Coturnix japonica: one gene and its partners. The protein of the gene in region 1 binds, or shares a complex with, the protein of each later gene. Links are inferred from orthologs where the notes say so. Each region holds a gene or a part of one and is shown on either strand. Other genes may lie near its edges.

Region 1 (10,057 bases):
GAATCTGGTTGTGCCTCACCTACAGCATCACAAACCAAAGGACACCCAGTGCAACCGGCAGGGTGACACAGGATCAGTGACAACAAGAAGAACTCACCCAGCACTTCAGACCACGAGGACAGATAGTGAGCCCTGCTTGATCTCAGCAGATGGGGAGCAAGAGAAGACGAGCTACCTCTGACATAATCGGGACGCAGAACATGGGAGCCTGCAAATAAATCACATCTCTGCATTACCTGGAAGCCAGCACTGTCATCGACAGCACGCACCGCATGGACAGCGCGATGGATGCAAGAAGTCACGGCTCTGAGCAGTGAGCTCGTGGCTGTCAGCTCACAAAGAGGCACCAGAGGCACAGCCCTGTGCCTGCTGAGAGCCCTGGAACCGGTTCAGCCCTTTCCAGATCAGCTGAGAGCAGCTCCATCCCCTTAGTAACCACATTCCTGTAGTGATGGGCTGCTCTTGGCCACCCCTCATCCTCCTCCTGGCCAGACCAGGGGAAACTCAGTCTCTCCTGGAGAGGCACCTGCCCCAAACCCTGATGATCTGTGTGATTTCAGTGCCTCCTTTTTGCTAGAAAAAGACACCTGCGTCACGACTCAGTCTTACAAATGGGACCCAGAGAGGGCTGGATGCACTCAGCAGCAGCTGAAGGCAGTTCAGCAGAGGGAGGAAGTGGGAGTTAGCAGGGAGAGGAAAGCCAGCAGCACCTGCCAGCAGCTTCACTCCATGGCTGCTGAGAGCACACAGAGCCCACAGCAGCACCACGTGCGCTCTTCTCTTCCTTTTGGCAAACAGATGGGGTTAACTCCAGCAAGAAGGGGGAATTCAGAGAGGGCAGCAAACAAACATCAGTGATCTCTGAGAGGCTGATGTAAATCCTGAGCTTTGTTGCCAAGTGAGCACCTGACCCCGATGGGGCATTCCCTGCCCCCACCTTCACACTGGGTTAGGATCCAGCCCTGGATGTTCCACGTATTCTACACCCTGTGAGGTGGGCAGGGCTGGTGTGGGGAGAGCAAGGGGGAGAGGAAGGGGGTCAGGCCATCAGTGCACAACTTTCTATGGAGGAAACTTCTGTGCTTAGAAACATAAAACTCTCCTGCCCATGTAAAGCAAATACACTGTTTCTAAGCGCCGTAGCCCCGAGCTGCGGCCCCAGCTGGGACCTGGTCCCAACAAACCTATTTCTGTCCCGTGTTACGTGATCCCAATGGATCTATTCCTGTCCCTCTGTTACGCAGCCCCAACAAACCTTGTTACAGAGCTCAGTGCACTGTCAGCTGCTGGAGTTACCGAGGGGTAAAGCAGCATTAAAGGCTGTTTGCAATGGAGTCTGTCGGCACTTTTAAGGCCACAGAGACCACCCGAGCCCTGTGGTTTAATGATGGAGGGTTTGATTTGCACACAGGGACGCTCGTCCCTCCCTGCAGACGGGCAGGAGCCAAATGAACCAAAGCGACGGATCCAAGAAACAAGAGGAAAGAAAAACCCAGAAGGAACGGGGGGAATCGGGGTGATTTTACCACACACAACATTGAGGCCTAATGGAACAACACACCCCAAGGAGCCGAGGGTTTGAAGGGCAAAGTGCACCAGCTTCAGTCCGAGCCCAGCTCCGGCGATGATCGAAAGTGAAGTTCAAAGGGAAAATAATCACAAATAAACCACGATTTTAACGTGTGGATCCTCAGCCCAACGCGACCCGCGGCCCCTCAGCCGCGCTCAGCCAGGCCCGAAGCGTCGCCCCCTCACGCACTCACCCGCTGCCGGCTTCGCGCACCACGCAGTATAGCACACGCGGATTGGCTGATAGGAACTGAGGGTACTCCTCTCAGCCAATCAGCACAGCCCGCTTTGGAATCTGTCCCACCCCTCGGGTAGAATGAGCCTGGGGTGCGGCAAAGGCTGATGGGAATTGTAGTTCCCGCCCACGCCCGGCCCGGCCCCCTCCCTCCCGCTCGGACTACCGCTCCCGGCATGCCCCGCGGCGCGGCGCCCAGTCACAGCGCGCTTTGTTGTGGGGGTGCGGCAGCCGCCGAGGCCCCGTTTCAAGATGGCGGACGACAGTGAGACAGCAGCGAGGCGGCCGCCGGCGAAGCCTCACCGGCCGTCAGCGGAGGAGAACGAGCACGAGCACTGCAGCGACTGCGAGAACGAAGCGGAGCGCGGCTCCAAGCGCGGGTGAGCGCGGGGCGGGGGGGGACGGCGGGGAGCATTGAGGTGGGCAGCGGCCGGGAAGTCGGCTCCGCTCCGCCCCTCGCGCGCGCTGATTGGCTGATAGATAATATCGCGTGGTGCGATTGCACGAGACGGCTGTCAATCGGCGTGTGGGCGGGCCGTTTGGCGTCCATTCACTCCTATGTGTGTGAGCGTGTGTTGGGGCTGCGGCCGGGACCGGGCCTGGATGGGGGCGGGGGAGAATGGGGGCTTTAAATGAGCTGTCATTGAGCTGCCACCTTCACATCGGGTGTTGGAGGCTATAACGAGCGTATTGAGGAACTCACACCTTCAATCGGGGTGTTGGGGCATTAACCGAGGCTGTAAATGAATTTGACTAACATCACATCGGTGTAGTTGGGGCTATAACGCGAACTGTGCACTGAGCTTCATCACCATATTCACATCGGGGTGTTGGGGCATTAACCGAGCTGTGCATTGAGCTCACACCTTCACATCGGGGTGTTGGGCTATAACGAGCTGTGCATATGAAGATCACACCATTCAATATCGGGGTGTTGGGGCTATACCGAGCTGTATATTGAGCTCACACCTTCACATCGGGGTGTTGGGGCTGTAACCGAGCTGTATATTGAGCTCACACCTTCACATCGGGGTGTTGGGGCTGTAACCGAAGCTGTGCATTGAGAGCTTCACACTTCACACGGGGTTTGGGGCTGATTAAGACGAGCGTGCACTGAGCTCACAGACGCTTCACCAATCGGGGTGTGTTGGGAAGCTATAACGGAGGCTGTGCACTGAGCTTCACACCTTCACATTGTAGGTGTTGGGGCATTAACCGAGCTGTGCACTGAGCTCACACCTTCACATCGGGGTGTTGGGGCATTAACCGAGCTGTGCACTGAGCTCACACCTTCACATCGGGGTGCTGGGGATTAAACCGAGCTTGGCGATTGACTCACACACACTTCACATCGGCGGTGTTGGGGTGTAACCGAGCTGTTATTGAGCTCACACCCTTCAACACCGGGTGTGGGGTGTAAAGGAGCTGTACATTGAGCTCACACCTTCACATGGGTGTTGGGGCTATAACCGAGCTGTGCATTGAGCTCACACCTTCACATCGGGGTGTTGGGGACTATAAGATGCTTGTGCACTGAGCTCAACTTCCACATCGGGGCTCTGGGCTGTAACGAGCTAGTGCACATAGAGCTCACACCTTCACATCAGGGTGTTGGGAGCTAATAAAACGAGCTGTGCATTTGTAGCTCACACCTTCAACATCGGGGTGTTGGGGCTATAACTCGAGCCTGTGAGCACTGGCTCACACCTTCACATCGGGGTGCAATGGGCTTGATAACGCGAGAAGCTGTGCACTGAGCTCACACCTTCACATCGGGTGTTGGGGCTATAACCGAGCTGTGCACTGAGCTCACACCTTCACATCGGGGTGTTGGGGCTGTAACCGAGCTGTGCATTGAGCTCACACCATTCACACTGTTTGTGCCTCCGTGTGGCACATCGCAGCCACAGCAGCACCCACCTGCATCGCACCAAGGGCTTTTCAATCCCCATCTCAGAGATCTTGCATGTCAGGCAATAAATGCCATGCAGGATGTATTGCAGGAGCTGTTTTTTGCACTACAGATGTGCAGATCTGTTCTATTTGCCTCCTGGGTGTGGCATCGTGTCTCACGTCGTGTCTCCTTTGAATGGGTTGAGCCGTGCTTGGGAAGGATCCTCTTTTCCTCTTCTCTTTCATGATGAGGTTTGCAGGATCCAGAGCCAAGCACAGAGCACACATGGCATTCACTCAGTGCTGCTGTGCCTTCTCATTGTGGTTTCCCAGTACAGCTGTTGAGATGAATGGTGGCTGATGGGTGGGGTAGGAAGCGTTGGGTGCTGCTGAGCAAATCAGAGTCATTAAGATTGGAGGAGTCCTCTAAGATCGTCCAGTCCAACCCATCCCCACCATGCCCACTCATGGAGCATTAAGGCTGGAATAGACCTCTAAGATCATCTTGTCACACCTCAACCCATCCCCACCATGCCCACTCATGGAGCATTAAGGCTGGAAAAGACCTCTAAGATCATCCAGTCCAACCCCAGCCCATCCCCACCATGTCCGCTCATGGAATATTAAGGCTGGAAAAGACCTCTAAGATCATCCAGTCCAATCCCATCCCCACCATGTCCCCTCATGGAATGTTAAGGCTGGAATAGACCTCTAAGATCATCTCGTCCAACCCCAGCCCATCCCCACCATGCCTACTCAAGGAACATTAAGGCTGGAATAGAACTCTAAGATCATCCAGTCCAACCCCAACCCCACCGTGCCCCCTCATGGAATGTTAAGGCTGGAATAGACCTCTAAGATCATCCAGTCACACCTCAACCCATCCTGATGTCCTCTAACCATATCCCCCAGTGCCACATCTGTAAGGTGAGCACCGTTCCCAGCACAGAGCTCACAGGGGCAGTGTTTGGAGCAGTGCTCGGGGCTGTCCCTCTGCCAGTGCCCAGCTTGTGCTCACAGCCATCAGCTCTTGGCTCAGGGCTGTAGAACCCAGCACTATCACAGAGCGATAGCAGCACTTCCTTTCCTTTTAAGGACAGGAAAGAGGAATTGAGATCCCCCGCCCTGGTTCAGTGTCAGCGCTGGGAAGTGCCTCTCTGTGTTGAAGCATAGAGTTTGTTTTCCAACACAGAGTCACACTTTCATGTTTATTCTCATTTCCTTTATGTGAAAGCGGCGTTTTGTTGCTGTTTCTGGTTTGCTGCAGAACACATCGCAGTGATGATGTGTTGCTGCCCTGCGCTGTGACGTCCCTGCCATCTGCCCGCCCCCACAGCCTAATGAGATTACCTGCACCCAATTAGCCACGCACGTTCGTCAGGAGGATTTTCCAGTGTCTAAATGTGGGACAGACACGGCTCCTCATCTGTCACCTCTCTGATTTCTCAGTGTGGAGGAGATGGAATCATGGTTTGATGGGACCTCAATGCAATTCCACCTCCCCCCACCATGGGCTGGTGGTCGGGCTGCTTAGGGCCCATCCAGCCTGGCCTTTGGCACCTGTGAAACCTGCCCAGGTCCCTCTGGATGGAGTCCCTTCTGTGGCTGCCTCAGATCACCTCATCTTGTGCCTTAACATCTCTTTCAAGAGTCGTTAAGGTTGGAGAAGACCTCCAGAATCACCAGGTCACACCACAACCCATCCTTGTTATGTCGGTAACCCACGTCCCCAAGTGCTAAGATAGTTCTGGTAGTGCAGCCTTTCTCCACCCATGTTATCTGTCAGAGCAGCTCTTGGGTTGACGAGATAGGAGAGGAAAAAGGCTGTGAGCACATCTTGGGGAGCCATGGGCTCTGGGCAGAGCTGTCTGTTCTCTGACAGATGGGATGGAGAGCAGCCCTGTGTGCTGCGATTGGGGATGTTTGCAGTTCTGCAGGGCACGAGGGTTAATTTGGGGAGTTAGAGGGGATTGGGCACAGTATTTGTTTTGCTAAATGGACTTTAAAATAGACAACACCTCTAACCATTGCTATTTGCTTTGCTAAGTGGGTTTAAAATTGAAAATCCCTCTAAGAGTGGCTGTGAGTCCCAAGGACTCAGGCGTAGCTCCCATTCACCACATTACATTTCCTCCATGCTTTGCCTGATGGGCTGCATTCATTTCCCAGCTGAAATCTGCTTATGCAGAACACTCAGCTCTGATTTCCTCCTGCTCACGACATCTTCACTCATAAATCAAGGAGGATTTTCTCCCATCTTCTACCTGTTGGTTAAATGATGCCACTTGGGCTGAACTCATTAGCAGGAGTTTGGACTGGAGCAGTGCTGTGTGGGTCCCTGGACTGAGGATGTATCCACACGCAGAGATCTCTTGGCTTTGGGGTTTCTCCTGGTGTGGAAGCTGCTGGAGCCTCTAACCACGGGGGCGGGGAGCACTTGGTCCTGGCCACCAGCTCAGGTGGCTCCAATGCATCCATTGGTACCAATGTCAACCTGCTGGTCCTCTGCTGGAGGACGAGGGAAGGAAGGGGGCTGTGAGGTCAGGGCTTAAAACAGGGAGCTTTTATTTTCCTTTGAGTGTTTCAGAGACCGTGTAAGTGCCCTCAAAATAAAAAACACAACACCAAAACCAAACCAGCCCAAAAGCCGCAATGATGTTTCTTTTGTTCCTTAGTGGCTTGAGTCCAGCGAATGACAGCGGAGCCAAAAAGAAGAAAAAGAAACCAAAACGGAAGAAAGAAAAAGGAGATCAGCCTGACCAGGCTCAGGACCAGCCAATGAAGGTGAGCTTCTCACACCTTTCAGGGCAATCAGAATGATCCCATTGCTGACACTGCCTGCTGTTGTATTCAGGCACTTGGCTGCTTGAAAGCCTTCAGATTTAAGAGTGATTTGCTGGCTCGGTGCATGGGAATTCCCACTGCTGCGGGAGGTGTTGCTGCAGGGTGAATGCAGCCCGGAGCTGGGTATCAAAGCCAGCTCCACTGAAAGGCTCAGACTGGCGCCTCTCTTCCCGAAATCAGAGCAGGGATGGCAGGGAACGGCCGCTCTGTGCCACCGAGCCAGGCTGCCAGCACAACAAACCCATTTTCCTACTCTTGGATGACATTCCTTGGTGTTGATTTTTGCTTAATTAACATAAGAACAGCAGCAGGGGCTGTCTGCCCCTCTTGGCTTTGCCCTGGACTAGCAGCCAGGAGTGCGGGGAGTGCAGGATTTGTCTGTACCCTATTGGTACCCCCAGCCCTCCTAACAAGGAGCTGAAACAGGCCTACAAGCTCAGCATCCTCATTTTGTCCTTTCTCTTTTTACCCTCAGGTCAACTCTCTGCCCGCTGAGAGGATCCAGGAGATTCAGAAAGCCATTGAGCTCTTCTCTGTAGGTCAGGGCCCTGCCAAAACCATGGAGGAGGCCAGCAAGCGCAGCTATCAGTTCTGGGACACGCAACCGGTGCCCAAGCTCGGTACGTGCCCTGTAGCCCCCAGGCTGCCCCAATGAGCCCTCACAGGAGATGGGAGCATACTATGCAGGTTTTTCTGACGTTGCTGTGGCTGTAGATTGTCTGCATGATCTTCATGGGGCAGTTCCCAGCCCCTCTTGCTGCAGACACCGCGTTTGATTCCCTTTTCACGCTGTCAGCACCTGTCCGAGGCTTTGTTTGGTCTCAAAGGGCTGTTTGCTGGAAGTGATACCCAGCTTTGGTCTCTTTTTGTGCTTGTGCTGGGGAATCATTGTGGAATACAGCAGGCAGGGGGTTACCGGGGCAGCAAAGCCTGGTTTGTGTTTGCCCCTTTCACCAGAGGATCCTGACGTGGCAAACATCGCTTCTGTGCCTGTAAACCCCATTAGGTGGGAGGTACAGTGTGAAAGGGGTGGGGAAGGAGAGGCACCAAACAGCCACAGTGCACCAAACTGCTGACTGTGCTCGGGCTGACTGCCCCGCTGTCCATCTCAGTGTTCTATGCATCTCGCTGTCCATCTCGGTGTTACATGCACAAGGCTGTTTAGGGTCTGGTAGCACGCAGCTTTTTGGGGCCAGATTTCAGATCTCTGCTCAAAGCAGAGTGTGCTGCCATGAATGAGCACTTCCAGAAGCAGAGGTGTGATGGGAGCAGTTCTTGCAGTGGGCTTTGTTGGCCGCCTCATTGCCTGGAAACTTTCAGTGCCATTTGAAGGTGACTCCTCATCACTGGGTTGTGCTTCTCTTGACAGCCACACTGCTGTGGCTGCTTTGCCTGAGGTGCAGAGTGCCCAGACAAGGTGCCATGGGGATGGTCAGACAGGATGCCGTGGGGATGGAGGTAACGTTCATAGTTCCCTGCTCTCTTTGGCAGGAGAAGTGGTGAACACCCACGGCCCTGTTGAACCAGACAAGGACAACATCCGCCAGGAGCCGTACACTTTGCCCCAGGGCTTCACCTGGGATGCGCTGGACCTTGGGGACAGAGGCGTGGTGAGTAGGGGCAGCTTAGTGTGTGAGTCCCCATCACGTGCTTCAGTGCTTGGACAGCTGGAAGTGATTTTTGGAGTGCTGAAGACACAGCAGAAGTGTTGTGGGTCCTGGTTCAGGGCTGCTGGCTACAGCAGTTGAACGGTGCTGGTTGAATAACTCACTTGACCTCCTCGATCTCTCCTTTAGCTGAAGGAGCTGTACACGCTGCTGAACGAGAACTATGTGGAAGATGATGACAACATGTTCCGCTTCGACTACTCTCCTGAGTTCCTGCTGTGGTGAGTGGCAGAGCAGCCGCAGAGCAGGAGGTGCGGGATGCTGCGGGCTTAACCCCGGCCATGGCACTGCAGCTGCTTCCCAGTGACCCAGAGCTGCAGGATGAAGGTGACTGCCAAGTAACGCTGCCAGCAGTAGCACTTGGAGACCTGTTACAGCTGAGCTGCTGTTTCCTCGGGGCGTTCATGAATTGAGGAATGCAGATTTCCTCCTGTGTCACCAGTGGCCTTGGCCAGAAGGTGCAGGAATGCCTCCCAGTGTTCCTGCACTGTCACTTTGTGGTTGCCTCTTTCCTCAAGCCTGGGTGTCAACTGGGTGTCAAACTGAGCAGGTTTTGGGGTGTCCCAGGGAGGTTGGAGGCAGCAGGAAGTGCTGTGTAGGACCTTGGGTGTGCTGTGACCACCAATGTGTGTCTCTTCTCCAGGGCACTGCGTCCCCCAGGCTGGCTGCCCCAGTGGCACTGCGGGGTCAGAGTGGTCTCCAGCAAGAAGCTGGTTGGGTTTATCAGTGCGATTCCTGCCACCATCCACATCTACGAGACGTAAGTGCTGCTCAGATGAGTTTCTCATCCTGTCCCTTGGTGGCATTCCAGGGCGATGGCCTTCAGCCATGGAGATGCTTGGCTGCTTGGAGGATGAGGCAGGGGATATTTAGGATGGGCTGCAAGGATGCCATGTATCTAACAGCCCTGAGGGCTGTTTTCACCACTAGTGTGAGGAGCTCTGCCCTACAGAAATCCCCCAGGGCTGGTTGGAGACCATATTTCCTGGGAAAACCTTGTGTGGCAGCTTCAAGGAGAGCTCTCCAAAGCCAGGCCTTGCCCTTTGGCCTCTCATGGGACCTGTCTGTGTCTCAGGGGAGCTGGAATTAAATTGCTCAGGGCGTTGGACCCCGGTCAGCACAGTCAGGTCTCACGCTCTGCATTATTTCCTTCCTCAGAGAGAAGAAGATGGTGGAGATAAACTTCCTGTGTGTCCACAAAAAGCTGCGCTCAAAACGAGTGGCTCCGGTTCTGATCCGCGAGATCACACGGAGGGTTCACCTGGAGGGGATCTTTCAGGCTGTTTACACAGCAGGAGTGGTGCTGCCAAAGCCTGTGGGGACATGCAGGTGAGCTCCAGTTCTCTGAATAGATTTAGGACCGATGAAAAGCTCTGCAGAGCGCCCCTTGCCGTGCTGTGTAGGATGGGGATGGCTGCACTTATTGGTGTGGGGCTCCCTGGGGCAGCACACGTCAACCCCAGCCCAGGTTTCTCCTCCCTGCAGTGTCCTTCAGGGATTATTCGAGCAGCTTTGCTTAAGCTGCTCCTTTATCACAAGGCAGGAGGCTCCACTGCACACGCTCTTGTTTTTCTCTCTGGCAACTCCTGGCCAACCCCTTTGCAGTGTTCTTGCTTGCCCTCTTATGGCAGCTTTGAGAACCTTATGCTCCTTCTGGCTGCCCACGAACAATCTCCCCCAGCAGATGTGTTTGTGCAGGTACTGGCACCGCTCCCTGAATCCTCGGAAACTCATTGAGGTCAAATTCTCCCACCTGAGCAGGAACATGACTATGCAACGCACCATGAAGCTTTACCGATTGCCCGAGGTGGGTGAGCACACACAGACCTCAGCGGAGGCTGAATCCTCT
Region 2 (10,119 bases), on another chromosome or scaffold:
TGCTCCCAGATTTACCACAGCTTCCATGTATGAATCGGACACACACTCAGCACCCATGAGGATCCCCTCCCTCCACAAGAGTGCCAGTGAGGACTGTGACCGTACCTGAGACATCTTCCTTGCCCTCTAGTGCAGCTGAACCACCACCTCGGACTGCAACAGCAACACAAAGCAGAGGAGAGCTCAGGTTCCCAGTCCCATCAGGGGAAGCATTCCCCCACATGCTCCCAGATTTACCACAGCTTCCATGTATGAATAAGACACACACTCAGCACCCATGTGGATTCCCTCCCTCCACAAGAGTGCCAGTGAGGACTGTGATCGTACCTGAGACATCTTCCTTGCCCTCTAGTGCAGCTGAACCACCACCTCGCGCTGCAACAGCAACACAGAGCAGAGGAGAGGTAAGGATCCCGGTCCCATCAGGGGAAGCATTCCCCCACATCCATTTCCCTTTCTGCCCTCCCCTCCCAGTTCTTCCCTCCCATGGCACAGGGCTCCCTGGTTGACGGTCCTCTTGCCCCTTCCCCTTGGCAGCCCGAGGCCAGCCTGCTCCCATGGCCACTCCCCGAATCTGGGCTGGTACTTACACTTATGAAATTGTTGTATGCTGCTGTTGGAGGTAATGTTGTAATGTCGCAGAGTTTGTTCATTCATCAGCCGCTGTCCATCATGAACCAGTCTTGACTGAGAAGGGTAGAAACAGCTATCCATTGCAAATAGCTTCATATTCAGGTCCAGCACCGTGTCGTCCAAAGATACAGGCACAGAAATATTTTTTCCTAACTCAGACGTCACAGAGATGGGGAATGTGGAGCTGCTCGTGGTCTCCATTGTCTCTGCTTTGAGACTTTCAGCCACACAGCGATGTCTGTGGATGAAGGTGCACAAGATTCTCACGGCCACAGACGGCCATCCAGGAACAGGCGGCTGCCCACAATTCTTCCGCGTATGTCACTTCCCAAGAAAGTGAAAGCACGGAGAGACTTCAGGTAATCAATGCACGTCATCACTCCCTCCTCTGGCCTCTGTGCGTCAGGGCAGGGAGATGGGGAGGCAGGGAATGCAGAGGGACAGTGAAGCAGGGAGGCAGCGCTTCTTGCGGAGGGCATGGCTTTCATTAGGACTCCTTCAGGCCCTTCTGTGTGTCACCATGGAGAGCCCAGGTCCATACCCCATACTGTCCTAATTTGCCCCAGTGTGCTTGGCCAGAGAATTATGGGGACACACGTCGTGGCCCTGGTTCATCTATGTCCCATGCTGTTGACTGCAGGCACAGCAGGGCCACAGGGTGGCCATGGTTCTATGGGTGCATGGCTCCAGGACACCACGCATCCATGATTCTATAGTTCTATGGTGCTGTGATTTCATGGCTCTGTGATTCCACAGCTCAGTGGTTCCATGATTCCATGTTTCCATGGTTCTGTGATCAGGAGGCCACTGGCATGCTGCTGCTGGCCATGTGTGTCTGTGAGCAGAGAGCATCTCACCTTCAAAACGGGCTCAGCTGAAGGAAGGAGAGTGCCATGCCTGTCAGCTAGGCAGGAGTTGGACCTCCCCACCTCCCCTCCTGCAGCTGGGGGGTGGAAATTGAGCCCAGGACCATGGGACATGTGTAAGTAAAGCTGCATGAGAAGACAGTCAGCACCCAAGACAATGTCAAGGTTGTATGATGAGTGTGAATACCAGTGGTAATCCAGCACAGTTTGCATTTAGGGGAGACAACTCTTTGCTCTGCACTCAAGGTGGTCTCAAAAATCACAGTGTGAGAACAATGTCTATCTGGGGCATGTGCTAAGAAAAGGGACATAGAGATGCTGACACATCCCCAAACAGGGCATGATGGATAAGGAAAGCAGTTTGCTGCAGAAAATAGAAAGCATGCCAGGCAGGAATGGGAACAGATCCCTGTCTCCAAAGTGAGGGAAAAAATGTGAATGCAGAAGGATGATGTAAAATAAGTGATAGGGGAAAGAGTGGCATTGGCTATTTCCAGCAAAAAGGAATAATTCTGCCCAGGCAGCAGATGGTGATCCTCCCCACCTGGTTTGACAGCAGTGGACCAAAAATTGAGCACCAAGGATTAGTGGACCTTTGCCCCGAGCATCTCAGTCCATATGACAGTGTGTGGCTGTGGTGCCTGCACTGCAGCCTCAGGCTGCTGAGTCCAGAGGAGCTCCTAAGAGCTGGGTGGAAAGGCAGAGATCTTGTTGGTGACAGTGGCCTCCTGATCGTAGAACCATGGAAACATGGAACCACTGAGCTGTGGAACCACAGAGCCATGAAACCACGGAACCATGGAATCATGGAACCATAGAAGCATGGAACCAGAAAATCCAAGCTGGAAGAGACCCACAAGGATCATGGAACGGTTTGACTTGGAAGGGACCTTTAAAGGCCATCTGGCCCAACTCTCCTGTGGTGAACAGGGACATCCACAGCTCCATCAGGTGTTCAGAGCCGTGTCCAGCCTGATCTTGAATATCTCTAGGGACGGAACATCCACCACATCTCTGGGCAACCAGTGCCAGTGTTTCACTACCCTTATTGGACTTCCAGTACCTGAAAGGGTCCTACAGGAAAGCTGAGGAGGAACTTTTTTTTAAAGGCATGTAGAGACACAACAAGGAGAGAAGGTTTTAAACTGAGAGAGGGCAGATGTAGACTAGATATTAGGAAGAAATTCTTTACTGGGAGGGTTGTGAGACACTGGAACAGGTTGCCCAGCGAGGTTGTGGATGCCCCATCCCTGGAAGTGTTCAAGGCCAGGCTGGATGGGGCTGTGAGCAGCCTGGTCAGTGGTAGGTGTCCCTGCCAATAGCAGGGGGTTGGAACTGGATGATCTTAAAGGTCCCTTCCAACACAAACCATTCTGTGATTCTCTGATTGTAAAAAAAAAAAAAAACAAAAAACCAACAACAAAACCTTTTTCCTTATATCCAGTCTTCTTTGTTTGAAACCATTTCCCCTTGTCCTATCACAACAGACCCTGCTAAAGAGTCCATCACAGAGTCCAACTCCTGGCTTCACATTAGGACCACCCAGACCCGATATCTACCAGCATCGTCCAAACGCTCCCTGCTCCCGCAGCCCATGGGAGCAGTTCCATGCCCACCTCCCTCTGGGGCAGAACCATTCCCTACCCCACCACTGACCCTCCCGTTACGCGGCTCCGCGCCGTTCCCTGTCGCTGTCACCCGTTCCTGCGGACAGACGGACACCCGCACCCTCCCGCATCTCCTCCGCCGGTGCATGCGCACTGCCCGCTCCGTGCCATGGTGCCCGGCCGAGCCGCTCCGCACCGCTCCGCTCCGCTCGGTGCCCGCAGGTAGCGGAGCTCCGACCCGCCCCGACCCGCCCCGACCCGCCCGGGGGCGGCCGCGCTCCCTCCTGCCGCCGCGATGCCGCGGTGTCGCGGTGCCGAGCCGGGAGCTGCCCAGGTGAGTGCGGGGCTGCGGCTCCGGGAGGAGCATCCCGCGGGGAAAACGGGGGGTACCGGGCTGCCGGTACCGCTCTGTGTCCGGGTCCCGGTACCGGCTTTGCGGGAGCACCGCGGGTGGTTCGGAACCGCAGCGAGCGCACGGGGTGTGATAGCACCAAGCAAGCGGGCCGCGGTGATGCGGGAAGAAAGCTGCGTTTGTCAGAGCTGGAACAGCAGAACGTTCAGCGTACCCTGCAAGTTTGTTCGTTCCTATTCGGGGAGCGCAGCCCAGCTGGGCGCACAGCCGCGGTGGGGCCGGCAAGGTGCGAGCGGTGCGGTCTGTGCGTGCGGGTGTGATGTGCCTCTGGGTGAGAGAATGGGGGGAGCGGGGAGACGTGCGGTCCCCTCTGGAAGTGAACGTCACATTCCCAGGGTGATGCGTGGAAGTAGAAATGTGGAGGTGTTGTGCTTGGCTGTCAGGCTTGGAAAAAGCTCCCGTGATGAACTCCTGCACTGCTTCGGTAGCAAATACGCTTGTCCCTTGTGCAGTGGTGAAATGGTGATGGTGGCAAGCAGGACTTCCCTCTAACACAGCACTGGAACCTCTTTTCGTTGTGAGACACCTGAAGTTGTGCATCCAGCAGCCCACACACAACCTGCGCTGCTTTTCAGCATTTTAGCATTTATGGGAGCACCTTTGAGATCTGGACCAAATCTCTTGTTTAATTATTAATGTCAGAACATTTTCCATCCAGCTTGCAGAGGACACGTTGGAGCGGTGGCGATGAGAACGCTGCTGAATGAGCCTTTAACCTGGAGCCTCTAAACTGCTGAAGCAGCAGCCGGTGGAACAGTAGTGGCTAATTGCAGCCTGACATTGCTGCCGCACTCCTCCTGGAGCCAGCAGGGCACGTTTGTGGCAGCTTTGCAGCTGGTGATGTGCAGTGGGATGGGGATCCCTCCCAGTTTGTGCACCAGGCTGTGCGTTGCAGTGTGATGGTTTCGGGTGCAGCATCCTGGAGATGGGATGGGACCCGTGGCACAGACGTGGGCATTTCCCTCCCCAGTTGTGCTGTAGGGCTGCTCTATGTGAGTGCGTGCATCCTGGGTAGCACGGCTCCTGAAAGAAGTGCTTCCTGACATCCAGGATGGAGATCCATCTGTTTTCACCCTCGGGCTGTCTCAGAAGCCCAAGTTTTGACCTGCTCTAAAAACGCTGTCCCAGCTCTGCTCTGTGGGACTCTGCTGTCCTCCTGGTGGCTCTTTCCAACCCCTACACTGTCCCCGGGTCAGGGCTTGGGCTGACAACATGTCATGCACAGTGTGGGGTGCTGGGAGTGCCTTGGGACCCCCGAGGCTCTGTCCACACCTGGGCTGTGTTGAAGTAATGCCCTCAGAGGAGAGTTCTGCTTTCCTTGGCAGCACTGCCTGTGTTATTCTGGAGATGGAGCCAAGAGCCAGCCCTGAGACTTTTCAGCTCAGAGGAGTGTTAGCGTTGCTACACCAGGCAGGGGGGGGGGTCTGTCAGAGTGGGGTGACCACTGTGCAGCTCTGGCTCACGTGAGAGCAGATGGTCCCTCTGGTGTCATATACTGGATCTGTGAAGCTGGCTTAGTTGGAGAGCAGTGATGTCCAGAACTCAGCAAGCAGAGGGCTGCCAGCAGGTCTGGGGGCTTTTGGCACTGAGCTTCGTAGGGAAGCCCAGCACTTGGCTCTGCTCTCAGCCTGTGGCATGAGAGGGATGTGTTCCTGCCTCCTCCATTGTCCCTATATTCTCTGTTTGCAGCAGAAATGCTCTGTGCCCCAGGACACAGCCAGTGGGATGGGATGGGATGGGATGGGATGGGATGGGATGGGATGGGATGGGATGGGATGGGATGGGATGGGATGCAGTGGAGGTCACCACCATGGTGGGGTTGTGCTCCATTCTGTTTGCAGGGTGTGCCCATAACAAGTCTCCTGCTGGAGCTGCTCAGCGGTTCCCACTGTGCTCTGTGTGAAAGACAATATTGTGCACATACAGAGAGCTGGCAAGGAAGGAACTCTGCAGTAGATATGGAGAGCTTTGGGATCAAGGATTGTTTTTTTCCACAGCAGGGACCAGAGCCAGAGCCAGCTCTTTCCTGCAAGTGGAGATGGTGCCATCAGGTGCCCTGAGCACAGTCTGCAAACCCAAATCTCTCTCCCTAGCAAAGGCACATGGTCCTGTTTGCACTTTAGAGCCGACAGTTTTGGGACTGAGGACAGATTCATCCTGGATTCCCAGCTGCAGGGAGGGGATGGCAAACCTCACCCCTGGACTCATCCAGCAGGTCCTTCTTGTCCATTTTTTCTTGTGCTGGAGGCCCAGAGCAGAATGCAGCTCTCCAGACTGGGTCATAGAAGGGCAGACTAGAGGGGGACAATCACCTCCATCATCCTGCTGGCCATGCTTCTTTTGCTGCAACCCAGGATGCAGTTGGCTTTCTGGGCTGCAAATGGGCATTGTAGGCTTACATTCAGCTTTTCATTAGCCAACACCATCAAGTTCTTCTTCACCTGTATGTGTGTTTGGGATTGCCCCAGCCCAGGTGCAGGACTTTGCAGTCCTTGAGTCAGAAACAGGGGTTTGTTTGCAAACAACGGGACAGAAATGCAATAAAAAGACAATCTTATTTTATGCAGAGGCAGTTAAAAAATAGCATCTCCTGTTGAGCTTGGAGCTCCAGGACATTCCCTGTGAATATCTGTGCTACAAGTGATTGAGAGCTAGATAAACAAAACTGCCACAGGGAATAGTGCTTGAGGGATCAAGGGCACAGCTGGATTGTTGGTTCTGCAAAGCAGGGAATCATTGACCTGAAATGGCTCAGCCAGGTGAGGGGCCGTGCTCAGAGCCATGGAGAGTGGCAAAGTACTCCAGAAGTGATAGACCTGAGAGCAAAAGATCTTTCCCAGGCTCTGCATCTGACCAGTGGGTGTTGTGAGATTGTCTTGGTGCTGGTATCACTTTGAACGTCTTGACTTCCCATTTCTTAGGAGCTCTACATCTGGTGGAAGGGGTGTGGATGAGGCACCTGGGATGGCCTCCAGCTGCCATGAGTGGATATCCATGTTCTTTGTCATCCATTGGATCTCGGCCTTTTCTGCTTATAGATGTCTGAGAGGTGTGGTACCCATGGGGATCTCCAGGTGTTTGTGGGACTTCCGACCTCACCGAGGTCCACTGTTTTAAGCTTAGAGTAGGGTTACCTTGCATTGCTCAGAGATTGGGAGATCATGAGATGACCTGACATCCAGAGACCTTCTAACCAGGATCCTGTGTCTCTACAATGGCACTTGGCTGTGGGGCTCCCAGATGGGAGTTTCACCCTGTTGCTTGTGGGGCTGAAATGGTGCTCATGGTGCTTGCTGTGAATGGCTGTAGGACCCTGACCATGGGCACGTCAGGCATCTATCAACCTCCCATCCTCTCCCAAGGGTCAGCCCAGGAACAGCCCATCCCTCCAAAGGGCCCTTGGGGACCATCAGTAGGGGAACTACAAAGGGGATTGCTTCAGATTGCTGCCTTGAAGGCTCAAACAAAGCATTCACTTCATTCAAATGGCCGATACTCATGGGCAGGCACCCTACGAGCCCCTCAGAAACCAGCCAGACCGGCTGGAAAGGAGTCCTGCAGCCTTGGGCTGTGCATTGGCATCTCTGCAGGGTTGGGAATCTTTGCATGGTATCTTTTATTGCTTTACAGTAAACTGTTGGCCTATATCACTGAGACATCAACAGCTGAGACTCTCTCTCATACAGAACTGTTTTCCATTTCTTCCTGTGAGTTTTGGCAAAGGTCCACAGAGCAGCACAGCAGATACTGCATGTGACTTTGCTGCTGTATTTTTCCCAAATCTTCTGCATTTTTGTGCCTCCTTTCTTGACTTTTTATTTATTTATTTTTCGGCATTTACTGTTGCGTAAGCGTTGGCATGCTGCTCTCCTTGGATGCTCTCACCCTTGCCACTCAGTGACTTGGCTTTTCCCTGTTCCATTCCCTCTGCAAATGAGCTTGTCTGGGAGCTCTGCACAAACCTGATGGCTCTTTGAGGACTGGATGTAGGTCTCATAGCACATTCCTGGCTCATCCACAGGGACCTGCACAGGCTTGAGAGGTGAGCCCATAGGAACGTCAGATGTGCCCCATCTCCAGTGTTGCTCCAGGCCATGGATGAGCTCTGGGCAGCCTGGTCTGGTGGGGGCAGCCAGCCCAGGGCAGGGGTTGGGGCTGGGGGCTGTAAGGTCCCTTCTAGCCCAGCCATTCTTGGAAATGGTTAATTCTAGCCTTCCCAAAGGCAGGGCTTCAGAAAGTTATTAAAGCCTGGAGATGAACCAAGTGACGCTGGTGATTTAAAACTTCAGAAGAGTTTTTTCTGCCCCATGCAGGTGCTGAAGGACGCCTGAGGCCCAGTGCCAGTGGGCGGCTGCCATGCTAGACTGTGCCCATCCACTCGCTGCTCTGCCCACCATCCCTGCTGTGTGCCCAGCACGGTGCTGCTCTGCTCACCATGGGAGGATGCTTCTCCAAGCCCAAGCCAGGTGAGATGGAAGGATGAGGGGATGTAGGTCAACGGCAGCTCCACGGGCACCGCTGGGGAATGTTAATTCTGTGCTCCTGCAGGGAGGATTACTGCCTGCTAATCCCCTGAATTCCTGTGCTCTGCCTTCAGCTGGAGTCCTGTGGGGCTGTGGGGCCGTGTGGGGCACAGGAGGTTCTGTTGGAGGTTCTGGCATGTGCCCAGCCCTGATTCAATGCAATGCGTCCAGAAGCTGCTGGGACATCTCCTATCTCACCCCACAAACTCCTTTAGCACTTATTGGGGCCAGGTGGGCTCCTACTGTTGGGCAGCCTGAGGTGTTGGTGTGATATGGGTCATGTCTGTGAGCCATCAAGTGTCCCTAGCTGGCCATCCTGGCCTTGCAAGGCACAGGCACACAGGTTTTATTGAGACACAAAGAGAAAATGTAAGGTTGGTTTCTGCTGTGTGCAGAGGTTATTTCAGTGGTCATCACAATGCCCAAGGAACACGGCACTGCACACTGTGGGCAAGTTTCTATCCTCCCACTCACTGTAAGTCTTCCCCTAGTGAGGAACCACTCTGGCCTTCCTTGTTAAAAAGGCAGAGCACACCTAGGAATAAATGCCCCCATTGAATAAACTTGCAACAAAGTCCGCTGGCAGCTCCGCTTTATTTTGTATACCATCAGCAAGATTGTGTTTAATCTTGGGCTGATGCAGGAATAAAAGCGCTCTGCGGGCGCATTTCCTGAGCTGCATATTTTTGTGTCAAGCTGTATTTGCATAGCAGGGCAAGCTCTAAGAATGCCACCCTGTAATGGAACACTCCTTCTGCAGCTCTGTTTCTGATTAGCAGCCTTCAGGAGGTTTTGACAGCAGTTCCTCAGCCCCTTGTTAGCACACACTGCAATGCTTCACCCCGGTGCTTATAAAACCTCCGAGTGCACTGAGATAAACAGATACGGATTTGCAGATGCTGATGGTGCTGGCAAATGTTTCACAACCTGTTTGTGACGCTTGCTTTCCATGCTGCACTCACATTTCTCTATGCCAGAAAGACCTTTTGATGGGCAGAAAACCAGAGCAGGAGACCCGCAGCACCAAACAACTGCATGCACTGATATAAATATCAGCATTTAATTCAGAGCTTGCGTTCAAGTAGTGACGTAATCTCTTATCTCCAATGCTGCAGTCGTGTGACCCCAGACTCCATTCCGGAGCTTGGTTCCCAGTCTCTGCATAACTATGTTGGTGCTTGTGAGGGTGTGGGGGCTGCATGTCAAGGCTGTTCCTGTGCCTTCCTGCCCTTGTCCTTGCTGCTGGGAGGTGCTAATGCCTAGAGAGGCAGGGTGGAAGCAGGCACATTTATCTCACAATTTTGGGATTAACTCTACCATTTTTAATGAGAATGGTTTTGAGTTGCAGGCCATTAAAATGAGAGGGCAGCAGCCAGGTGCCCACCGTGTCCCACCACATCACACCATATCCCACTACATCTCACCACGTCTCACCACATCCCACTACGTCCCACCATGTCTACAACATCCCATCACATCCCATGACATCCACTAACTCCACCACATCCACCACAACTCACTACAACCCACAATGTCCCACCACATCCTTCCACATCCCACCACATCTCACCACGTCCCACCATGCGTCCCACTTCCTGCCTCATCCACCACATTCCACCACATCCCATAACGTGCGCCATGTCCACCACATCCCAGCGCATCCTGCGATGTCATATGTCATTTGATGTGATTATGTGTCCACCGTGTCATCCACATTCACCACAACCCACAACATCCCACTATGTCCCACCACGTCCACCATGTTCCACCACATCCTACCACAGCCCTTCACATCACACCACATCCCGCAGTATCCACAACATCCCAACATATTCCATCTCTTGGAATCTGCTCATCGATTCTCTTTCCTTAACCTCTTTGGGTTGTGGGTTTTAACTTTTATCTTCTGTGCAGCTCATCCTGTCTGTGACATTTACAAGACTGGGAAAGTGAAATACTCTCCCACGTGCTTGGGACAGCTCTTTGGTCTCTGGCAATTATGCCCAGCTCACTATAGATGTCCCCTGGTGTTAATTATAAATATTAATGACCTTAGTCTCGAGGGGTGCTTAGGAGAT
Region 3 (10,154 bases), on another chromosome or scaffold:
CGACCCGGGACCGCTCCCCCCCGCTGGCAACGGCAGACGGGGCCCGTTCCGGTGAGACCCCCGGCGGGTGCGTGGCAGCGGTGACATCTCACCCATCAGGGCTTCGTGCAGCCCCGGCGTGTCTCCGGGCTCTAAGTACAGAGCAAATGAGCATTAGATGAGCTGTTCGAATTAGCTGTGCCTTTGGGTTAACGAAGCCATCGGCGCTCTGATTTATGGTAATCTGCTGGAGGAATCGGCTCAGCCACCACACCGCGTGGCCTTGTGTGGGCATCGGTTGGGCCTCAGCGAGCCCTGTGCACCCTCATTGCAGCCATAAACGTGTCTGACCCCGCAGTGTGTCAGGCAGCATCCCTCAGGCTCTGCCTGGTACTGATATCCCTCCTGCACTGCTGGGGGTGCGGAGCGGGTGGTGGTCTTCCAGGAGCATCCACTTGGTCCCTATGGTTATGCCAAGCATAATCCCTATGGGACTGAAAAGGAACAGCTCTATCTCCCTGCCCTGCACATGGTTAGCACTGCTTTCCCCTCCACATCCTCCTGCTGGAGCCGTCCCATCCCAGCAGTGAGCCCCAGCTGTTCCCCTCACCCAGCACAGCCCGGTTCCTGCAGGAGGGCTGTGATGAGTTCTGGTATTTTTCCAGAAGCTGAAGGCTGCTAATGCCACAGTCCCCTGTTTTTTCCTTCCCTCCCTTTCCAAATATAGGAACAACATTTGCTCCTTCCAACATCTGCCACCATTGGTGGGTTCCGCTGCTTTATCCCTTTGTCCCCCCTCCCCTCCCACCATCGGGGAGGAATTAGGGGTGCTCTGTCATGCTGCCATGGCTCTGTTTCCTCCTCAGCCTCCCCAGTCCCAGCGCTGCAACATTCAAATCACGCGACACTCATCATGTCTTCAGTGCAGCAATTAAGTCACAGCTCTAATTAAGCATTTAGGCACACAACGCACTCATGTCCCATCTCCATCCCCAGACGGACACCAGGGGATGTGGCCATCCCTGTTCTGCTCCATCTCGGGCCCACAGGAGCTGCAGGCTGCGGCGCTGCAGAGCGGAGGGGCATCGTCCATGGGGAGCTGCACGTCTCGGGGTGCACATCCCGGAGGATGCTGAGCATGGGGCAGCCCCCGCCTCCTGATGCTGCAGCCCGGCAAAGGGCTCAGCACATCGCCGGGGCTGGAGCTGCGCCCCGGGGCCACGCCGGGCACCGCCACGGGCCTTTGCTGCCACCTGCCGGTACCCGGTACCGGAACCGCCCCGCGCCCACACGTGACCGCCGGTTCTTAGCCACGGGGGAGGAGCCGGGGAACCGGCGGCTCGGAGGAGCGGGGCGTGAAATCCCCACCCGAACACACGGAGGTGCCACTCAGGACCCGGAGCTCCCGAGCCGCCCCGGAGCGGGGCGAGGAACCGCCAGAGGGAGCCCGAGGGACGCGAGGCGGTGGCACTGGTGGTACTGGTGGTACTGGTGGTACTGGTGGTTCTAGTGGTTCTGGTGGTTCTGGTTGTTCTGGTTGTTCTGGTGGTGGTCGTCGCGGTGTTGGTGGTACTGGTGGTTGAACACCTCCGTCCCGTGGGAGCTGTGGGGGGTTAAGGATGGATCCAAGCCCGCGCCCCTCTCGGTGCTCTCCCCTCACCCCGCTGGGTTGGCAGCTGCATCTGGCCCTGCCATGGCGTGTGCTGCAGCCCCCGAGCTGTCCAGGCCAGGTGAGTGCTGTGTGCTCTGGGACAGCACCAGGACAAGGGGATATGGGGATATGGGATGGGGACGTGGGGATATGGGGACATGGAGACATGGGATGAAGCCACTCTGTTATGAAACGTCCCTGCATCCCCATGGCTCTAAGTCAAGATTTAGTGAGCGAGCAGCTCCTGATCCAGATGAGATTGGGCATCACAAAGGGCTTTGTATTCCAGGAAGCCTATTAGAGATTTAAATTATACAAATGGGCTTTTTACCAAAGATCCTCATTATCTGGGCATTTGTATTTAATCCTCAGCTATCCCTGCAGCCCCAACCCCGCACTTTGCTCACCTTCACCGCGTCCTCCAGGGCTGAACAGGGTGTGGGGATACAGCCGAGCAATGATGGGGTCCTGCCTGCTCTTCCTCACAGCATCCCACAGGGCACACAGCAGGGACTGCTGGGGATGGAGGAATGGGGAATGGAGGGGAGGGGTTGGGACCATTGACCCCCAGCCCAGGGACCTTGTACACTGCAGAGGGTCTGATGGTACAGCGTGGTCCTACCCGCACCCCGCATTATCCTCTCCCTCCTGTGATCCATTTCAGTGTGGGGGATTAGGTGGTTTTAGGGCCGGGTTTGAGTCAAATGGGATGCTTTCAAATCATCCTGCATCAGTTGTGCCCTCTGTCACTCATTCAGAGGGGGATTAAAATAGATATGAAGATTATTGGAGGGGAAAAGGCACCCCCACCTGCAGGGAGCTGCCAGCAGCACCCAGCACACAGGGAGCCTTTACATCCCACAGCCATATTTCCCCATCTTCCTCACCTTTCTGCTCACACCAAAGCCCCATTTCCAGTCCTATCTTTTAGTCCCTTCCTTTCACCTTTCTTGCATGTCCTGCTGCTTTCACCACCATTTCCTTGTTACCAGCCCAGGCTGATCCCACAGACCCCTTGAGCTCAGTGCTCACAGCTATTAAAAAGGAGAGAAAAACACTAAGAAACCAACTTTGCTTTTATTATCAGCAATTGCTTCTTCCTGCAAGGTCCCCGCGTGGTGGCAGATGCGTCCCACTGCAGGGAAGTGGAGCCCCAACTCCCCCCTGGCCCCTTCCCCATACCCCCAAAACAGAGTCAGGGCTGTGGGTTTAATCACTTTATGCATATTTATTTGTGTAATTCAGAGACGGGTTCCTCTTCCTCCCATCTGCCCTTACCATCTGCTCCCAACGGTGTTTCGGAACAATCCCAGGCTTTGCCAATTGATGGAGCAGTGCAGGAAGGCAGGAAAACCCGTGGGGATGTCGCTCCATCTGGGCAGCAGCTGGCTCTGTGGGTGCCTTTTCCTGGTGTAGGGGTGGCTGCTGGAGGCCACTTTGCTCTATCTTCTGAGTGGTGACCCCTGACACGTGCCTGGATCCCAACCCAGAAGTTCCCTTTTTAACCCCAGAGCACCTGGCTGGGCACCTCTTGGGCCAGCAGGGTGGTGGGAGCTGCCCTTGGCCTCCAATTCCTCCATCTCTTTGGGGTTCTGGAGCTGCAGCTCCTTCTGAGGGGATTGGGGGGGTTGGCAGATGTGCTGGGAGGGGTGATGGAGAGAGTGGTGCCCCAAAGAGAGGGCTGTGCAACCCCATCCCATCCACCAAGGAGTAGAATTGCACCCTGAGTGACAGCTGAGTGGGGTTTTTTTTCCAAAAACGCCCTTGAAAACCTCCCCAGGACCACATTAAAGTGCCCACCTGGGGCTGCAGGCACCTGAGCCACTGATGGGCTCCCAGCACCAGCCCAGCCCAGTGCCAGCCCTCGCAAGAGCAGCCCAAAGCTGTGGCTTCGGCAGTGCCTGAGGGGGGTGCGGGGCTTCGAGGCGGGTGGGGCAGCCCGGGCCGGGCGGGGGCTGACTGCAGCCGGTGCCCGTCGTGCCCCCCCCGCGCCCCCCCTGGTGCCGGTGCCGCCCCGTAGCCCCGCGCTGCGGCGGGCACAGCCGGAGGGCGCTCCCCGTTGGCGCACAGAGGCGGCATTGGAGGCTCTTCCCCGGGCAGGTAGGGGGCGGCGGGACCGGGGGAAACCGGGGGGAGATGGGGGGAACGGGGACAGCATCAGCCTCAGCCCTGCGGGTGCGTCCCTCTTTGCCGGCGGCTGCAGAGCCCCCGCCCCGGGGCTTTCCCGGTCCGCCCGTACCCCGCGGCACCTTCCTGCGGGTGTCCCCCGGTGCGTCCCACCGCGGGGGCACCATCCCTTGGAGGGGGGGTCCCTGTAGTCCCCTCCCTGGGGGGAGTTCCCTGTGGATCCCTCCTGCCCCAGATGTATCTTCCCTGGGGGTCCCCTCCGTCCTTCTCCCCAGCTGTGCCCATTTTCAGAGACTCTCTGCACAAAGCTCTGATGCTGAGCTGCAACGTTGCACAGTAGAGGAGATGGAGAGGGGCTGGGGGTCCCGTAGTCCTTGGAGGGAGTCCCTATGGGGCTCTTTTTGTCACAGGGAATCCTGTGCACCTTTATCTCAATGGAAGGGGGTTGGGGCAGTGGTACTCTGGGCACTGCAGACACCCCCGCCCCTCCCAGCCCTCACTGGGGTCCCCACTGGGCACTCTGGTGCAGGGAGGGGGCTATGGCTGAAAGGGGGCACTGTGGCCCCCGGCTCTCCCCGGAGCTGCAGAGCTGTCCGGAGGCACCAAACACAAACGGAGACAGTGGAGGCACCAAAAATAACCCCCCCCCTGAGGGAGCTGACCCAGATCCATTCAGATCTGCACCGGAGCCCTTCACCGGGCTGAATCCCCTCCTCAGCTCTGCTCTGCCTTCCTGATGCCACCTATATATCACCCAGTATATTATGCAAATGACCCATAAGGGCGTATTACCCAAAGGGCGGGGGCTGGCGCTGCGTTGCGTTGTCCCTGGGGCTGCCACCAGAGGCTCAGAGGGGACAGCGGGATGGAGGGATCAGCAGCGGTTCACACCTCCGTGTGGGCGCCTGGGGGCTGCCAGGGAGCGCTGCCCCATCCCTCCCCATTTCTGTAGCACTCAGGGACCCGAGCAGGGCCAGGCGCTCTTCCCTTGGGGTCGGCGTGCCCAGCAGCATGGGGAAGCAGAACAGCAAACTGCGCCCCGAGATGCTCCAGGACCTGCGGGAAAACACCGAGTTCTCCGACCTGGAGCTGCAGGGCTGGTATAAAGGCTTCCTGAAGGACTGTCCCTCGGGCATCCTCAACGTGGAGGAGTTCAAGAAGATCTACGCCAACTTCTTCCCATATGGTGATGCCTCCAAGTTTGCTGAGCACGTCTTCCGCACCTTCGACACCAACGGCGACGGCACCATCGACTTCCGAGAGTTCATCATTGCACTGAGCGTCACCTCCCGCGGGAAGCTGGAGCAGAAGCTGAAGTGGGCATTCAGCATGTACGACCTGGATGGCAACGGCTACATCAGCAGGGAGGAGATGCTGGAGATCGTGCAGGTACGTGGTGCCCTCCGTGGTCCTGGGGGCTGTGGTGGCCTTTCCTGTGCATCCCCTTTGCCCAGAGCCCAGCCTGGTGGCAGCAGTGTCAGAGAAGGAGCGATGAGGCTGATTTGGTGACATCTCACCGGGCACTGCAGGAGCAGCTCCCATCCACCTCCTGCAAGGTGGCTGCTGCCCTATCTGGGACCGGCCCTGGCAAAGGGAGCCCTCTGTCCCCATCCTCGGGTCGGTGGCAGTGAGCTCTGTCCCCATCAGCCTTGTCCCCATCCCTGCGTCCTTTTCCCAGGCCATCTACAAAATGGTCTCCTCCGTCATGAATATGCCAGAAGATGAATCGACTCCGGAGAAAAGAACGGAAAAAATCTTCCGACAGATGGATACTAATAATGATGGTAAATGAGAGGGGAAGGAGGGGATTAAGGGAAAGGTCTCATGGTTAAATCCGGGGGTCTTAGAGGGAGCTGTGTGCTCACTGATTAAATGCTGCGCGGTCGGGGGGAGCCCTGGCAGTGAGGGGCTCGGGGTGCACACAGTGCTGCTGGTCACACATGGGGGCTCACCCCGGGCAGCTGGTGGGTTGGGGGTGTCCCCAGGAGGTCTCCGGTCCCCGTGGCCCCGTGTTCCTGGGTGGGGTGGAAGCTGCTGCACTGAGCTGTGTCTCCCCGCAGGCAAACTGTCTCTGGAGGAGTTCATCAAAGGTGCCAAGAGCGATCCATCCATCGTGCGCCTGCTGCAGTGTGACCCCAGCGGTGCCGGGCAGCTCTGAGCCCCACCACGGTCCCCACAGCCCCCACCGCCCCCTCCTGCCACCACTACTCGTCCCTGCTGTCCCCACCTCCATGTCCCCATGGGCAGAGCACCAGGGGTGTGGTGCAGCATGGCAGAGCCACTGCTGCTCCTCTGATTGGCACAGGGACACGGCCAAGGGGATGAACACAGCCCCCCCAGCACCCCCCAGCATGCAGACACTGCCACACCAGCCCCCTCCCCACAGCCAGAGCATACATGGGTCCATGGGAAGGGGCTGTGCTTTCAGTCTTTTAATACCTGCAAAATAAAGTGTGTGTCAGTGCAGTCAGCAGCGGGGAAAGGCTTTCCTATAAGCTCCGAATCCAACCTCCCTTGCAGCAGTACCAGGGCAACAGTGATGGGCTCACATCCTGGGCAGCAGTGAGCAGCATCCAGTGCTTAGTGCTGCCCCATGGCTGCGCCGTGCTGGGGGGTGGGCACTGGGATGGGGATGGGTCCTGTGGGAGGGGGCTGCAAGGAGACCTGGGGATGGAGAGCTTTGGGTGGACAAACCCTGCCCCCACCCAGCAGGGGGACACAGAGCAGGATGGCCAACATGACACATAGAGCTGCAGGTGGGAGCAGAGGAGCACTGAGAGGTGAGGGCAGAACACTGCAGGGAGCAGAGCATGGGGCCATGGGTGAGGGCTCTGCTGATGAAGGTGAGGAGCCCAATGATGAGGAAGATGAAGACCCGTTGGTTGCTGCTGGGATCACGGTGGTCTGGGGAGGAGAGGGGCTGAACACTGCAGCTGGATAATGCCGGGTGATGGGGACAGCCCCGGGGATGTGCCACCCTGGATGGACGAGGCAGTGCAGGGGCAGCCTGGTGTGCAAACTGCTGCCCCTCGAGGAGGTGATACAGGCTGAACCTGTATCTCCAGAACCAGGCTTTCTGCCCAACCTGTGGTGGTGCTTACAGGCACCCAAAGGCACCACAGGGTGGACTGCACAAAGGATGGGCTGGATGCGAGGCGAAGGACAACCAGAGTCTTTATTCAAATGGTCCTTCGGACGATGGCAGACGTACAGACACACGTACATATTTACACTCGTACACACCTCACAGAGCCTGAACCAATAAATTAAAACAAAAAGAGGGCGGGGGTTGGGGGGGCATTTTCCGTTTTCTTTTTTTGTTGTGTAAGAAACAGCAGCTCCCCGAGGCGAGGGGGGGGCTGTGAGAAGCCACAGACACAGCCCTGCCCCAGCAGATGCAATGACAGCAGTGTGCTTTAGGGCACGAGGGCACCTCACACCCGGGCTTCGATGCACTCCAGCGTGACCATCTCGTCCAGCCTGCAGCCCTCGGCGTGGGCACAGTGGCTCAGGTGGGCACTTGGGCTCTCAGCACCTCTGGCACTGGGGGTCTGCGGGCAGGGGGCCGCGCTGTGGGAGCGGGGGGAGCCGCACTCGTCCGAGGTGAGGTCGGGCACGTCGTCTGACTGGCTGTCTGAGCTCTCCAGGTCGCTCCGTATGCTCTCAGGCTGTGCCAGGGTGATGTCCCAGGTTTTGCTGGCAACGCAGTCCTTTTGCTCACAGCTTTGGTGTTTGCACGTCTGCTCCTGCTCACCGTCCTCCTCTTCCTCATCCTCCTCCCCGTCCTCCTCCTCCTCCTCTTCCTCATTCTCTGCCATTTGGGTGTGGACGTGCAGTGAGTCCTCTGTGCTGCTGCCGCTGGCCAGCTGGTAGTGGCTCGGTTTGGCCTCGATGTCCACCTGGATCTCCATGTTATTGCACTCCCTGCAGAAACAAGCACCCCTGCATCACTTCTGCTGCAGCCCAGGGCATCCACGGGCACCGCAGCGCAGGAGGTTTGTGCTTCCATTCCAGTGCCGGCACAGCACCAATGCAGCCAGCAGCCACCAGGGAGCAGCCTGCTGCACCCCACCACCCCCTGCAGAGCAGACATTTCCAGGACACCCACAGCACACACCTGTCCTGCGGGTTGTAGGAGCTGATGATGGAACCGGCCATGGCCCGTGTGCTGGCGTTGTCACTGATGGCCCCCAGGCTGACAGAGTCCTTGGGGAAAATCTCCTTCTGGACGTCTGCCTGCACCTCCAGCCTGCGGGAAGGGAGAGGGTTGCTCAGAAATGCCTCAGGTGGTCCCCAGGGGGCACCAAACATTCTCTGTGTGCCATGAGGTGGATGATGTGGGCGCCCCAACCCTGGAGGTGTTCAAGGCCAGGTTGGATGGAGCCCTGCGCAGTCTGAGCTGCTGGGGGGCACCCAGCCCACAGTGGTGGTTGGAGCTGGATGGTCTTTAAGGTCCTCTCCAACCCAAACCATTCTATGTTTCTGTGACAGGTCAGCAAAGGGCTCAGTGCTGGCCCAGGTTGGCATAGCGGTGTTCAACACCGATGGATCCCCCCGTTTAGTTTAATTTTTGGCTCCATTTACTGAAATCCATTTAGTTTCCCATGGCAAAGTTGAAGCAGTGTTTGTATCCATGACTCATGTAATTCCTGAGAAGAACAGCTTTCCACAGAAGCAGCACTGAGCCATGGCTCTATCTTGGCTGCCATATCAACACATCTCCAATTACTCAGCAGTCAAGCTGAGAAGTAAACCATCATGTAAAACCGTGGTGTAACCTCCCAACTTGGAAAGCAGAACCCCACATAAAGCTGCTCAGCCAGCACAGCCCTGGGAACTCCAGCCCCTTCTCCTGCCCCATTCACCTGCTGTATTTCCCTTTGCCTCCTGAGAGCACACCGCCGCTCAACGTGCCGCCCGACAGCGCTGCAAAGCTGGCTGTCTCACTGTAGTTGCTCTGCATCACACTGAGCCCATCCGTGGGGCTCCCACTGGTGCTCAGCACACTGGTCAGCCCCTCGATGCTGCTTTCGCCAATGCTGGGGTTCTTCAGGGCTCGCCAGGCATCAGCCACTGTGGGGAGGAACAGCAGGGAGTCAGGGAAATTCTTCACTCAGAGGACAACAAGGCATTGGTGGAGCCCAGAGCTGTGGGTGCCCCATCCCTGGAGGTGCCCAAGGCCACAGATGGGCCCTGGGCAGCCTGAGCTGGGGGCAGCCAGCCCAGGGCAGGGGTTGGGACTGGATGATCTTTAAGGTCCCTTCCAACCCAAGCCATGCTATGATTCTATAATTCTATCTCCTCCTAGCTAAACCGAAGTAGGCTGATGTTCAGATCTGGGAGTTATCCAGTCCCCCCTCACCTCAATACAAGAGTCAGTGAGAGGGTCCCGCTTTGCCCCTTCCCCTCCCCCTTGTCACACTACCTGTGATTGGTCCATCATCTTCATCAAACTCGATCTTCACGCCCTTCCCATTGGCAGTGCTGACCCCGCAGCCCCCACCACGGCACAGCGAGATGGGCACGACACCGTAGACATAAGCCAGCATGATGGGGACCCCGATACCTGCAGAGTGAAGAGGAGCTGAAGGCTGAGCTCTGCTGGGCAGACTCTCTGGGTTGCGACTTCCAGCCATGCTCATGCAAGAAGGGAACCATGCAGTGCCCACCTACCTACACTGACAGCAGCGATGACTGGAGAGGCAATGACAGACAAGGTGACCCCTCCAGTAATGGCCAAATTCCTCTTGTGCTTGGAGGTTTTCTTCCCTTCATATCTGCTGTGGATCTGAGGGAAGGACAGGCACCAGGTGAGAATGCAGACACCAGGAGACACTATGAGCCCCCGCCATGGGGTGTGCCAAAAGGGTTCCTCCTCCCAGCCTGGGGTGGGGCACAGTGTGACATCTCAGGGGATTCAGCCATCAGCCGCTGCCTCCTCTCCCCACACAAAGCCCAGGAGATAAGACAGGGCTCAGAAAAGATAACTGAATTTGGGTTCTATGAAGAGACCCACCCTCCCCAAGAGCCCTAATTGCTGCTCAGATGCCTTGAGCACAGAACATGGAGAACGCCCCGAGCTCGGATCCCTCTGCTCCCACCGCTTGCTTTGCCATCCTTACCTTTCTCCCAACATAGACAGGGATGCCAATGACCATGGCAGGAATGGCAATGCCAGCAATGAGGGAGATGCCCACAGGAGCGCCGATCAGCGTGCCCAGCTGCCAGAGAATCTTCTTCTTGCGACTCCATGGCTTTTTGCCCCAAAATGTACAGCCAGAGGGGCTTAATGGAAGGAAGAAAACACATTAAAACTTGAGCGATCCCTGAGAAACCCTAAGCCAACTCCCACAGAAACAGACCCAAAGCTCAAGGAGTGAGTGGACAACACTGAAGG

Evidence for each region.
Region 2: the proteins of NMT1 (region 1) and AIFM3 are in contact, whole or in part, in a crystal structure (PDB 6SJZ), measured with the Homo sapiens proteins. The link is inferred for Coturnix japonica from reciprocal best matches to the Homo sapiens genes NMT1 and AIFM3. Residues at the interface, in NP_066565.1 of Homo sapiens: Tyr180, Val181, Glu182, Asp183, Asp184, Asp185, Phe188, Arg189, Phe190, Asn246, Thr282, Ala283, Gly284, Tyr296, His298, Phe311, Tyr401, Ser405, Ile469, Gly470, Asp471, Asn473, Leu474, Leu495, Gln496; in NP_001373743.1 of Homo sapiens: Gly2, Cys4, Phe5, Ser6, Lys7, Pro8.
Region 3: the proteins of NMT1 (region 1) and HPCA are in contact, whole or in part, in a crystal structure (PDB 7OWM), measured with the Homo sapiens proteins. The link is inferred for Coturnix japonica from reciprocal best matches to the Homo sapiens genes NMT1 and HPCA. Residues at the interface, in NP_066565.1 of Homo sapiens: Tyr180, Val181, Glu182, Asp183, Asp184, Asp185, Met187, Phe188, Arg189, Phe190, Tyr192, Ile245, Asn246, Phe247, Thr282, Ala283, Gly284, Tyr296, His298, Ser300, Lys310, Phe311, Ser312, His313, Tyr401, Leu403, Ser405, Tyr420, Gly468, Ile469; in NP_002134.2 of Homo sapiens: Gly2, Lys3, Gln4, Asn5, Ser6, Lys7, Leu8, Arg9.

What each region holds. Positions count from the first base shown.
Region 1 is NC_029542.1:814,749-824,805, forward strand, and holds the start of NMT1 (glycylpeptide N-tetradecanoyltransferase 1), read left to right. Parts: upstream 1-2,003; 5' UTR 2,004-2,056; coding exon 2,057-2,184; intron 2,185-6,372; coding exon 6,373-6,481; intron 6,482-7,016; coding exon 7,017-7,161; intron 7,162-8,032; coding exon 8,033-8,151; intron 8,152-8,337; coding exon 8,338-8,429; intron 8,430-8,851; coding exon 8,852-8,968; intron 8,969-9,366; coding exon 9,367-9,537; intron 9,538-9,906; coding exon 9,907-10,015; intron 10,016-10,057.
Region 2 is NC_029530.1:8,946,137-8,956,255, forward strand, and holds the start of AIFM3 (apoptosis-inducing factor 3), read left to right. Parts: upstream 1-2,952; 5' UTR 2,953-3,440; intron 3,441-7,333; exon of another isoform or gene 7,334-7,560; intron 7,561-7,831; 5' UTR 7,832-7,953; coding exon 7,954-7,984; intron 7,985-10,119. Other genes in the region: NACHT, LRR and PYD domains-containing protein 1a-like, read right to left, coding at 106-153, 328-375, 591-834. UniProt on the Homo sapiens protein: Induces apoptosis through a caspase dependent pathway. Reduces mitochondrial membrane potential.
Region 3 is NC_029538.1:4,643,712-4,653,865, forward strand, and holds HPCA (neuron-specific calcium-binding protein hippocalcin), read left to right. Parts: upstream 1-1,554; 5' UTR 1,555-1,672; coding exon 1,673-1,709; intron 1,710-3,622; exon of another isoform or gene 3,623-3,730; intron 3,731-4,709; coding exon 4,710-5,146; intron 5,147-5,435; coding exon 5,436-5,541; intron 5,542-5,817; coding exon 5,818-5,915; 3' UTR 5,916-6,227; downstream 6,228-10,154. Other genes in the region: E3 ubiquitin-protein ligase RNF19B, read right to left, coding at 7,192-7,681, 7,875-8,006, 8,623-8,830, 9,183-9,323, 9,431-9,545, 9,880-10,042. UniProt on the Homo sapiens protein: Calcium-binding protein that may play a role in the regulation of voltage-dependent calcium channels. May also play a role in cyclic-nucleotide-mediated signaling through the regulation of adenylate and guanylate cyclases.